Mus musculus: one gene and its partners. The protein of the gene in region 2 interacts with the protein of the main gene of each other region in a pairwise test. Links are inferred from orthologs where the notes say so. Each region holds a gene or a part of one and is shown on either strand. Other genes may lie near its edges.

Region 1 (4,302 bases), on a different chromosome or scaffold from region 2:
TCAGAACGGAGAGTAAGGATCTGAGATCACTCTCCATCTCCCTACAAGGTCAGGGGCTGGGCTCTTCCTGGGGCCATGTCCAGCTTTGTCTCCAACCTATATCTATGTGTTTATTTAATCAATTTATTTATTTAAATGGGATCTTGGTGTGTAATCCTGGGACATGTGGTAATTGCTATGTAAATCCAGGCTGGCCCAGAACTCAAAGCAATCCTCCTGCCTCAGCCACAATTATGGGCGTGAGCCACCACACCTGGTTGTAACCCATATCTAATCTTGAATGATTCACCAAGTCCTCCACCCTCACCTCCCTCCTTGGTCCAACCTGAAAAGAGGAGAGAAATATTGTATTATTCTACTTTTGACAGTGGTTTGACCATCCTTGGCACTTGGAAAGTACCTTCACTCTGGTGGCTCAGCAGTCTTTGGGAAGACCTAGCCCCAAATTCTAGAAACAGGCTGGTCTGCAAAACATGGCCTGTCATAAATCGCTGGGCTTTACAACAGGCCAGAAGAACAAAACACAATAAAGGTAGCCAGCCCGTCCTAGAATCAGAGCTACGAATTTAAATCCTGACTTTGCCATCTATCAACTTACCTGGACTTTACAAGTTCATGGGGAGACTATAGACTCTGTCCAGACAAGTCTGGGTTCAAATTCTGGGTCTACCGCTATTCTATAGCCTCTCTGTGTCCCAGTTTTTTCATCTACAGAATGGACACTGTAACAGTGCTCATCTAACAGTGTTGGTGGGGAAAAGGAAAAATAACTTCAAACTTTGTGCACCAAGCCCAGCACAGGGTGCATCCTTAATCATGGGGGACCGGGGTCGTGGTGCTACCTTCCCAAACTATGCCAGCCAGTTCATCTCTGCTAGTGTCTGTTTCCTCGTATAATAGAGACAATAACCTCTGACTTATGGTGAGCCCTAATGAGGACAGGAATGTTCAAGTCCTCAGTGCCCAGGCTGTACAGCTTAGGAAGTCAAATGTCAAGTCCTGGGCCCAATGAAGGAGGAAGGCCTAGAAGGCAGGCAGGTGGCTCAGACTTCGGCTACTACCCTTTCCCTGGTGGCCTGGGACACAGGTTTGATTTCTCTATGAGTCAGATGCCTTGGTCACAAACCCAAAAACAGAGTGGAATCCAGGAGAGTTAAGGACCCCAAGAACCTCTCAGCACACAGTAGGTACTCTGTAAACGATTCAGCTGCTTACCCTCTTCCTTTCCCACACCATATGCCACCTGGGAAAGCCAGCATCTCCATTTCTGGAAACCTAAACAGCTCTAAATCCTGGACAATGCTTAAGTCTGAGACTTGGGCTTTTTAAAAGACAGCAAATGACTTTTGTAGTCATCTCTGAAGCAGACGGGGCTCGGAGGCTCACAACCACAGGGACCATTTTAAATCCCGGGCCTTTTCTTCTGGGAAGTTAAGCAAGAACCTTCCCAAATGTTTGCCGTGGGGCCCTCTGCCAGAGAGTGACTCACTCCTCCGCTCCCCACAGGCATATTTTATTTGGGGGTGGGGGATCCAGGGAGAGCCTGGCCCCGGTGGGGGAGGGGAACAGTTTCAACACGTCCAGAAGGTGGGGATATTTTTTCTTCTCCAGTTTTCGGGACAAAGAGGAAAAAAAAAATGAACATGGGTCTTTTTTTGTTTCCTTCCAGGTTTTGTCTTCTGGACGACGATGTCCAAAGTTCACTGGTTAAGTTTCTCCTGTTGGGAGTCAGGCACCCATTCAATGAAATTCTTCTCCCATTAGCAATAGGGTTTTTAACATGCCCTTTTACACACACCAGGCTCCTGTGAGGACATTTTCCCCTCAAAAAGTCACCCTGCATTTTGCAAGTGGAGTGAAACTTTGTACATAAACTTTCTAAAGTTTGCTCTAACGCAGTTAAAACTTTCAAACACACATGCACAAACTGTCAATCAAAACTTCACGGACAGCCCTTAGAGGATGTGTCCCAAGCATGCTGTCACCCATTTGTTATGGCCCTCTGGGGCTCGGTTAAATCAGGGAAATATGATTAACTTAGAGGAGCAGGCAGAGAGGACAAGTATCTGGGGCCCTGGGTCTCCCTAGGGCCTAACCCCTAGGTATGGGGAACAGAGTCCAAATCTGGCCTAGCTAGAGACAGCCACGAACAAAGCCAGGGAACTAAGACATATTTAGAAAACCTCAATTCAAGTTCAGCGCAGCCCCCTCCTCAGCCTGCGTGGCCATGCAGAGTTCTGCCAAGGCCGGGCTAAGAGGCTTCCAACCAAAGTCAGAACCTGGGGATCTGCGGACTCACAGAATCCGGCCCAGCACCCTCTCTGGACAGGGTCAGCCGGCACATCACACACACACCGGCCTGCAGTGTGGAGTGCACAGTCTGGATCCTAAACACACTCTCGTATGGAATTTGTACACTTTTGCCCGTGCACGTGTGCACACACTCACTCGGGAACGTTCAGACACGTGGGCACACGTACTCCTTGGCATCCACGGTAAACACTCGATAAACGGATAAACCGAAGCCGAGCCCGTCCACCCGCACTGGTCCACCCCAAACTCACAGCCCGGGCCCCTGATGTGCACACGCACGCACTCCCGCGCAGCTGGGCGGATGGAGCCCGCCGCGGACACCTCGGCCTCCTGCGGGCGTCCCCGCCGACTCCCCGGGCACGCGCGCGCGCCCACAACGCCTCGGGTGACAGTCCCACGCCCTGGCCCGCGCCCCTCGCTGGTCCCAGGCCACTCACCGGCGCTGGCGGCTCTCTCGGCGGCGGGCGGAGCGCGGGTCACACGCGAGTTGGCGGCGCTGCGGCCGCAGCTAGTCCGCTTGGTTCAGCCGCCGCTTCTGCGCGCGCCCGCGCGCCCGCCCCTCCCCGCCGCGGGGCCGCGCCGCCCCCTGCGCCCGTGCGCGCGGCCGCCACGCAGGCTAGGGGGCGCCGGGGGCGCGCTCCCAGCCTGGGTGCCTGATCGTCCAACTCAGGTTGGAAGACTGAGCCTCAGACTCCAAACCCTGGGCACTGAACCCCTCTGCGCGGGCTCTAGACTTTATAAGATGCAGATTCGCTGGGTAACCAATTCGTGGACCCTTCCCCACACCCATGGATTCCTCATCAGCTGACATTGCTCCTCTCACAGCCCTCGCAGGACCGAAATTGACCCATTCACAGAGTGCAGCAGGAGGTGAAGTTCAGTTGATAGCATGCTTTCCTAATCTCAGCACTAGGGAAATTGGGCACCTGTAATCTCTGAATTAGGAAGGCTGAGGCAAAAATGTCTGAAATTCATTCATTCTTGGCTATATAGCAAATTCCAAGCCAGCCTGGGCTACATGAGATGTTGTCATTCATATTATATATATATATATATATATATATATATATATATATATATATATATATATATATATATATATGTATATATGTATATATGTATATATGTATATATATATATATATATATATATATATATATATCAGTGTGTACAATAGTACAGTGTACAAATAGTGCCCAGTACAGTTCCAGAAGTAGGCACCTAGGATAAATCCAAGTCCCTGCCCTCAAAGTGCCAGTATCTCCTGGGGATACTGCCTTCCTGGGAACTCCAGGCCAGCCAAGCATCAGTGTGCAGAAGGTTTTTAGGAGTAAGTGGGCCAGCCAAATACCCAGGAGCCTGGGGGTGGGGGTGGGGGTGGAGGTGGGGGGAATGACCTGAGTTTGATCCTCCAGACCCACACAATGGAACAAAAGAACTCCAGCAAATTGTCTTTAACCTCCCCATGTCTTCCAAATTCACACCAAGTGTTGTATGTTAAAAACAAAAAACAAAACAACAACAACAACAACTGCCTTCATCTATGCATACTTAACAACCCCACTAGGATGTCCAAGCTTCTCTGGGGAGCAATTAAGGTGACTCCCACTTCCCCTCAGGAAGGGATGCTCGTAGCTGGGACAGGTATTGCTGCTTCTGAGTGTTCTAGACTGTCTGTGTGCCCAAGCACCTGCCATCTGTCCATTAATCTGCTGTACATGTCTGGGCACGGGATAGCAACCTGCTGAGTATTCAGTTAACTAGTCTACTTGAGTCCACAGTAATCAGGCCCACAACCTATATTACTCCCCCTGCCTGCCTCATGATGTTCAGCCATTGTGAGGGTGGCATCATGCCACCCATGTGCCCATTTCTTAGATGGCTTTAATGAGGCCTGTGAGCAAAGTCCCCCAGGTGGTGAGTGGTTGAACTGGAAGCAGATGACACAGATTTCTGGTCTCAGCAGCTTATTGCTAGGCAACCTTGTTC
Region 2 (3,994 bases):
TTTTTTTTAAATAGAAAACTCCACGAACACTCAGATTTACTTTTTTTTCTTAGAGAAATCTAAGGGTCTTTTAAAGGTTTTGTCATTGGCTGTGAGATGGCTCAGCGGTTAAGAGCACTGACTGCTCTTCCTCAGGTCCTGAGTTCAAATCCCAGCAACCACATGATGGCTCACAACTATCTACAATGGGATCCGATGCCCTCTTCTGGAGTGTCTGAGGACAGCTACAGTGTAGCTACTTACATATAAAAAAATAAAAAATAAAGGCATTATCATCATTATTATTAGTTTGTTTTCTGAGACAGAGGTTTGCTCTGTACCTCAGGCTAGCCCAGAACGACTCCATTCACCTGCCTGTGAGAGCTGGAAGGTTTTGCCTGTATCCCCAAGCCCACTCAAACCCAGCCTAGGTTAGATGGGGACCCGTGCTCAGCTTTAGCTTTTCCTGCGTCTGTGCTGTACACCCCGGAAGCTGCTGACACCCTGGGCTTCGGGGTGATCAGTTTCACACATGAGGAACCCATTAGAAATGAGAAAAGTATTTGTGGTGGGAGTGACCAGGCTGGAGGGTCTGTGGGACCCTACTCCAAAATTGGACAGAAGAAGGTAGGGCTGTGTGACCCTGAGCCGATTACTCACCCTCTCTGGGCACCCACTCTAGCCTGTGTTAAACATAGGGACTGGGCCTCTAGAACCATGAACGCTGTATGCCTTACTTTCTTCTTCCACACCATGGGGCTGATTGTTTTTGGACACATGGCCTCATGTAGCCCAGGCTGGCCAACTTGCTAAGTAGCTGAGGATGACCTTGAACTGCTGACCCTCTTGGCCCCACCTCCTGAGCCCTGAGATGACAGAGGCACCCCCCACCCGGCCTTCCTTCAAGCCACAGACAACTCTACAGACACATGGAGGTGCCCTGGTCCGGGCTCACCTGTGATACTGCGCTTGCAGCAGCTGGAACTCATCTTTGATGCGGTCACAGGAGTCGGAGGTGGTGAACTTGAGCTGCTGAGGGAGGTGGGAGGAGCCCTGCGGGGGCAGGAGGGTGAGCGGCGTCCTGCCCCGCCCATGCCCCACTTCCTGGGCTGCCAGGAAGGGGCTGTGAGGCCCCTAGGCAGTGGGGACACTTTTACACACTGGTCATTTGGGAGGGGCGGGCACCCATGGGGCGGGGTGCACCTCTGTCCTCCAGATGCTCCCAGAGGAATTCCCCAGAAAGCCCCTCTAAGTCAATCAGGGTGGCACAGGCCTCCCTTCAAAGCCGGCATGGAAGAGGCACCTAACTTACCACCCTACATTTCCTGGGAGTACCCCCATCACACCTGTTTCCTCACGGGTGTGCTCTTCAGGAAGGGACCCCCCCAAAGCTGCCCAGGCCCCAGCCAAAGCCACAGAGAAATCATGGCCTGGGAGTTAGGGAGAGCTGGAAGCTGGGGGGCTGGGGAGCGAGGGGGGTGGGATATGTACAGGGCCGGCATCTGAGGGCACTGGGTCAGGAGTTAGGGTGTAAGATCTCGGATCTGGGGAGCAAGGCTAGGGGCAGGGTGTGGGGAGCAAGGCCACTGGGAGCTGGTGTGGGAGACGACAGATGGGCTTGGACATGAGAGGGACGGAGCCTAGTGCTGGGGGGGCGGGGGGTGGGAAGACTGCGGGGTATCCGGCTCCGGACAAGGGAGCACTGGACATTATACGGGCACAGGGTCTCCCCAACCCTAGTGCTGAGGGTGCAGGATGGGGGCTGGGAGGAGGAAGGCCGCTGGGGTGCGGGGCCTGCAGCTGGAGGAGGGACGCGGAGCCAGGCTGGGGGTGGCGCTGGGCCCGGATGGTGACGCCAGGCCCGACAGGGCTGGAGAGAGAGACAGGGGGTGCGGGAACTGTATTGGGGGGTAGAGGGCACCAGACTTGGGGCCAGGGCAGATCTGAGGTGGAAAGAAGTGCAGGGCCGAGGTGATGGTGGGTGCAGGGCCTTGGACTTGGTGGCAGGCCAGTCTGAAGCTCTTAGAGAGCTGGGCCTGGGGGGGGGGGGGTGCACCGAGGTGGGGATGCAAGATCTAGGGCTGGAGGACATGCGCGTCTGGGGTGAGGGGATGATGGGCTTGTGACTGGGGTGCTGCAGCTCTGGGCCTGAGCCCCAGGTCAGGAAGACAGGCCGAATGCGGCTGCAGTGGGGTGCGGGCTGATCCGGAGCCCGGGGGTGGGGGGTGGGGGTGGAAGAAGACCTTGGAGTCGGGTTGGGCGAGGTGTGGGGGAGGCGGTGAGGGGACTCAGGGCAGGGATCAAAGTTCAGGGATCCGGGCTGAAGGATGCAGTGCTGGACTGGTGGGGTGCGTAGGGTCTGGGTTGTGGGGTGCAAGGACCTTGGGGAAGAGCCCAGGGCTGGGGGGACAGAACAGGCCTGTGGGAGCTGGGGAAGCGTAGGGAGCCCCTGGGACAGGCCCTGGGCGGGGAGAGAGACGGGATCCGACCTAGAAGGGGTGCAGTGAGATGAGCTGGGGTGCAGGGTGAGCGCCGGAGGTGCAGTGAGCTGAGCTGGGGGTGCAGGGAGAGCTCTGGGGTGCAGTGCGCGGGGTTCCCCTTACCGAGTGCCGGCTTTGCGGAAACATCATGTCAGTCGCGGGGGGCGCGGGCTGCGCCCCGGCTCGGGCGGCTCGGGGGGCGCCGGGCGGCCGCGCTTTGTCCCCGATCGACAGCTCCGGGGCCCCGCGTCCCGCCTCCTGCGCCGCCCGCCGCCCGCCCGCGCCGCCCGCGCTATTGTGTAATGGCGACGCGGTGCCGCCCGGGCTCCCGCTCCACCTGCCGCGCCCGGCACTGCGCAGGCCCGGACGCCCCACCCGTGACCTTGGCCCCGCGCGCCCCGCCCCCGCCACGGCCCGGAACCCCAGCTGGAGGCCTGCCTCAGTGCCCCCCGCCCCCAGTCCCAAGGCCACAGACTCGCAGCCTGGACACCCAGGCTTCACGGTGGATTTATGGAGTGCCTACAGTGTGCTATGTCCTCTTTGGAGTCGGGAGGGTTGGCACGGCTGGGGGCCACACTGGGCAGTAGAGTGACACCTGTCCCACAGAGGTAGGATGGGGGCCCAGTCCTGTAATCTAATGACTGGGGTGCAGAGGCAAGAGGATCAAGAGTTCTCGGCCAGCCTGGGTTACCAGAGAGCCTGTCTTAAAACAACAAAAAGTAAGACATGGTTTGTTCTGGGGTACAAGACCTATTACCAGTGCTGGGTAGGTTGAGGTAGGTGGAAGCCAGCCTGATCTACACAGTGAATACAGCCTGGGCTATAGGAGCCCTTATCTCAAAACATGAAAAAGTTAAATCGGGCCACAGGAGGTGGTGGTGGCCGACACCTTTAATCCAAGCACTCAGGGCAGAGGCAGGTGGATCTCTGATTTGAGACCAGCCTGGTCTACATAGAGACTTCTGGGACAACCAGGGCTACAAAGAGAGACCTGTCTCATAAATAAAAGGTAAGAGTTCCCCAGGTCCTAGTGTGATCCCAACACTTGGGAAGCTGAGGCAGGAGGATTATCGAAAATTCAGCATCAACCTGTGACCCAGCTTACTGAGGTGAGACCTGTCCAAAAACAAAACAAAACAAAACAAAAACAAATGATTAAAACAAATATGCTGGTGTGGTAACACAAGCCTTTAATCTAAGCCCTTGGGAGGCAGAGGCAGGCAGATCTCTGTAAATTCAAGCCCACCTTGTGAGTTCCAGGGCAGCCAGGGCTCCATGAGCCCTGTCTTAAAAAATAATAAAAAATAAATAGGAGCCGGGCGTGGTGGCACACGCCTTTAATCCCAGCACTCGGGAGGCAGAGGCAGGTGGATCTCTGAGTTCGAGGCCAGCCTGGTCTACAAAGTGAGTTCCAGGACAGCCAGGGCTATACAGAGAAACCCTGTCTCGAAAAACTAAAAAAAATAATAATAATAATAATAATAATAAAATAAATAAAATAGTTCTTTGGGCCAATACTATTTACCCCAACACTT
Region 3 (4,095 bases), about 5.6 Mb from region 2:
CAAGAGGCCAAAGGAAGGTTGTGGTTAGCTTTCTAAAACCTAAACCATGCCGTGCCAATGACCTCAAAACACAAGATTTCCAGTGTAAGCATCTCAGATGCTTAAGAAAAGTAAAACCAGCCAAGAAGGCGCGCTCAGTGCAAGACCATGTGCTTAGCGTGTACAAGGCTCTAGGTTCCCCAGCATGAGAAATGAGAACTGAGGAAGACAGAGAAAGAGGGCAAGGGTCAGGAGGCAGAGCAAGCTGTCACTACACCTCCCGAGGCTCTTCCCACCTGACCAGGAGCTGTCTTTCAGTCTCTCCACCACATGAGAATTTTCTTTTCAAAACTAGGGCTGAGGCCAGATTTACCCCTTCACTGGTCAGTTCAGGTAAATAAACATCTTTGAAGAAACTCTTCTGCATAGACTATTTAAAGTCCTTAACTGCCATACGCACCACACCTTGCACTTGAGCAAATGCCTAGTGGCCAACAAGGACCCTTCTGAGCTGTGAGAGATGTCCCCAGCACAGCCACTGTGGAACAGAGGCACAGAGGTGACAGTGTGATCAGTCTTGGCGGCTTGAGTTTTTTGTTTAATGGAAGATGGTGAAAACGGAAACTCTAAGTCTGGATGTTTCTGACAACATTGGTCTCACAACCTGATTCAACCGACACACTAATAAAATGGAGTGTATGTCACTGAATAGCTGCCAGAGGTAACGGCTGGCAGTCTGAAATGCCATTAGCTCTCCAGGGTGGGCACTTACCTCTTTACACATGTTACATGTCTACTGGATGACATTCACACATCTGAATTTTATCTTTTTGTTATTATTATTCCTTTCAAGACAAGATCTCACTACGTAGGCCAGGCTGGACTCAAAATCACCCTCTACTTCTGCCTCCTGAGTGTTCAGATTAAAGGTGCAGCCCAGTGCACTTAATAAACAAACAAACAAAAAAAGAGTAAGAAAGAAAGAAAAAAAAATAAGCCACATAAACTGGGTGTAGTGACACCAAGTGCTTTGATCCTGGCACTCAGAGGCAGGAGGATTTCTGTGAGTTCAAGTGCCAGGTCTACAAAGTGGAGCTACAAGGCAGCCAGTTACACGATGAGATCTTGTCTCAAAAAGAAGGGGGGATGGGGCTGGTGAGATGGCTCACCAGTTAAAAGCACTGACTGCTTTTCTGAAGGTCCCGAGTTCAATTCCCAGCAACCACGTGGTGGCTCACAACCACCTGTAATGAGATTTGATGCTCTCTTCTGGGGTGTCTGAAGACCGCTACAGTGTACTCATAGACATAAAATAAATAAATAAATAAATAAATCGAAAAGAAAAGAAAAGAAAAGAAAAGGAAGGAAGAAAGAAAGAGAGGAGGGGAGGAGAGACATAAACTGGTTGGGGGTTGCCCTTAGATGGAATGAAGTTAGTTTGAGATAGACAATCTGCACCAAAAAAAAAAAAAAAAAAAAAAAAGGTAGAAAGAAAGAAATTTCAGCTGAGCAGTGGTGGCACACGCCTTTAATCCCAGCACTCAGGAGGCAGAGGCAGGCACATTTCTGCCAGCCTGGTCTACAGAGTGAGTTCCAGGACAGCCAGGGCTACACAGAGAAACTGTCTCGAAGAAGAAAAAGAAAAGAAAAACAAAAAAAACAAAAAAACACAAAGATTTGGCTGGTCTCTAGGGTTAATTGAAGGGATTTTCTAAGGTTGTGGTTCTCAACCTTCCTAATGCTGTGACCCTTTAATACAGTTTCTCATGTTGTAATGACCCCCTCCACCATAAACTTTTTTCGTTGCTACTTCATAACTCTAATTTTTGCTACAGTTACGAATCATAATGTAAATACCTAATATGCAGGATCTTTGATATGCGACCCCTGTGAAAAGGGTAGTGGCTGGCGCACAGGTGCGATCCTAAGGAACCCTGTCCACCTGACTGCACAGAAGCTGTCTCTTCTAGCTCTGGGTTCTGGGTTAGCGACCCTTCAGATTTATCCCCTATAAAAACTCAAAATTAGTTCACTGATCTCCAAAACGTTAGTGCTTCCGACCTCAGGGCCTCAATCCACTCAAAAGCAAACATGTCCAATCACTTTCTAAACATCATAAAAGCTCTCTGCAGTCCACCTCGCAAGCAACAACACAAAGGGGAAGAGGCTTTCCTAAGCTTCGGGCTTACAAGTAGAGATTTCGAGACCGGGGCAGTGGGGTGCACGAGAGCTGCCAAAGGGTTCAAGGGCAGTGTTGCACCTCCACTTCCAAGCGCCCAGGGGCTTCCCGAACATCCTTTCCCCATCTGCCTAGAGTGTACCGGCTCGACGCTCTAAGCTAGGACAGATGCTTAGGGTCTGAACAACGTTAAGTGGGTAAAGAAAACCCAGGACGGTCCAGGCGGGACCGGCCACGCCCACCAGGCCACGCCCCAGCTGCGAGCACGCGCCCGCCTCCGCGATGAATGGAGGCGCGCTCTCGGGGAGCACTAGCCCGCCCCGGGACTCGAGCCGGCCAGCCGCTGCCCGGGAAGCCGAGAACGCGCCGCGGGCTACCTCGGAGCCGATCATGTAGAACTCCCCGTCGTCCTCCAGCTGAAACTTGACGGGCTTCTGCCCGAAGGTCTTGCTCAACGCCATCATCATCATGGCGGCGGGGGAAACCGGCAGCCGGGGTCGAGCTGGAAAGAATCCGGTGGGCTAGGGCGGGGCCGAGGCGCGTCGGACCGAAAGGAACGGAGGCCTGGAGGTGAAGGTCGGGCAGGGCAAGCCGGGCGAACCGGGCGAGCGCTCGTGTCACTACTGGGCTCCTTGGCCGTCTCTGCAACGAGCAGGCCGCCCTCGGTGCGCATGCGTGGAGAAGCTGACGCTAACGTGCGCGCCGCAGCCTGCGCGACTCAAGGCCGAGCGCGTTCCCGCAAGCCCTTAAAGGGACCCGAGTTCTTTTTTGCTTCCTAGGCTTCCTCCCTGGGCGGGTAAGGAGGAAAACCTCTCAGCGACCGAAATAGCCACTGAGGCCCTGACTCAGGCGGTAGCTTTCCTAGTCGCATAGCCAGAGCTGGCACTCCGCCCCGGGATGAAGGAAAAAAATGAGACGTTAAGCGAGGAGAAGGACCGCTCTATCTGGAAGCCCGAGGGAAGCTGGGTGGGCATGGCGACCCCACGCTAGCGCCTCAGGTTTTCCACCCGAAAGTGCGTTAGGAATAGCTAGCTATCCACTCCAGGCCAACAGCAGTTCCCGAGGCAGTAGGGATGGGAAGAATGACAATACTGGATGGAGGTTGGTACTATTCAAAGATCTAGGTGATGTGCCAGATGAACGGGAGGAGGCACTTGCATTCCTTCCTTACCTCTGCAAGCTTGGTGCCCACAAGCCCAGCCCTGGTCTGTGCCTCTGCCCGCCTTGGGGCATAACAGCCCCGAGAGAAGACAGTGCTTCTGGAACGTGTCCAAGCAGTCCACCCCCTGTTGAACAGAGCCGTGACTCCAAAATGTTTAATGTTTATTGTAGCACTATTACAGGAGCTTAAGTTATAGCCTAGCCTAGGTAGCTATTCAACAATAGAGGAATGGATGAAGAAAATGTAGTCTAGGCTGGGTGTGGTGGTGCAAGCTTTTAGCTTCAGTTCCAAGACAGTCAGGGATATGTTGAGCAACTCTGTCCCAGAAAACAAAAAAGAGTGTGAAATGTGTGTACATGTGTTTTTTGTTTTTCAGCCACAAAAGTGAAATTACATTGTTTTCAGGAAAATGGATGCAACTAAGATATCATATTAAACAAATCAGGCCAGTCTCAGAAAGACAAATACGTTTTCTCTCATTTGTGCTTTCTAGATTTTCCTTAGATACATAAAATATGTATTCCACAGAACATTAAAGTAAAAGTGACATTGTGTATGGGAGCAAAGGGACTAACAACCTAGTGTAGGGGAGGTGGGGGCATGGTGGGATGTGCAAAATACAAACACTTCTCTGAAAGCAGCAGGACAAACAGTGGCCAGCTTCATAAGGGTCAGTCTAATGAGACTGCAATTGTGACTGGGGTCATGATGAAGGAGATGTTAAAGAACTAGGAAAGGCTGTGGTAACCAGGAGTTTGCCCACTGATCTCACAGC

The links. The genes of interacting proteins can lie anywhere in the genome.
Region 1: the proteins of Tle5 (region 2) and Nek6 interact in binary tests that used the Homo sapiens proteins (3 or more experiments, as listed by UniProt). The two-hybrid records come from large-scale screens. The link is inferred for Mus musculus from reciprocal best matches to the Homo sapiens genes TLE5 and NEK6.
Region 3: the proteins of Tle5 (region 2) and Smarcb1 interact in binary tests that used the Homo sapiens proteins (3 or more experiments, as listed by UniProt). The link is inferred for Mus musculus from reciprocal best matches to the Homo sapiens genes TLE5 and SMARCB1.

Annotation. Positions count from the first base shown.
Region 1 is NC_000068.7:38,510,242-38,514,543, reverse strand, and holds the start of Nek6 (serine/threonine-protein kinase Nek6), read right to left. Parts: upstream 2,848-4,302; 5' UTR 2,751-2,847; intron 2,669-2,750; exon of another isoform or gene 2,565-2,668; intron 1-2,564. UniProt on the Homo sapiens protein: Protein kinase which plays an important role in mitotic cell cycle progression. Required for chromosome segregation at metaphase-anaphase transition, robust mitotic spindle formation and cytokinesis.
Region 2 is NC_000076.6:81,558,257-81,562,250, reverse strand, and holds the start of Tle5 (TLE family member 5), read right to left. Parts: upstream 2,808-3,994; 5' UTR 2,610-2,807; coding exon 2,583-2,609; intron 1,033-2,582; coding exon 935-1,032; intron 1-934. UniProt on the Homo sapiens protein: Transcriptional corepressor. Acts as a dominant repressor towards other family members. Inhibits NF-kappa-B-regulated gene expression. May be required for the initiation and maintenance of the differentiated state.
Region 3 is NC_000076.6:75,918,768-75,922,862, forward strand, and holds the start of Smarcb1 (SWI/SNF-related matrix-associated actin-dependent regulator of chromatin subfamily B member 1), read right to left. Parts: upstream 2,848-4,095; 5' UTR 2,629-2,847; coding exon 2,536-2,628; intron 1-2,535.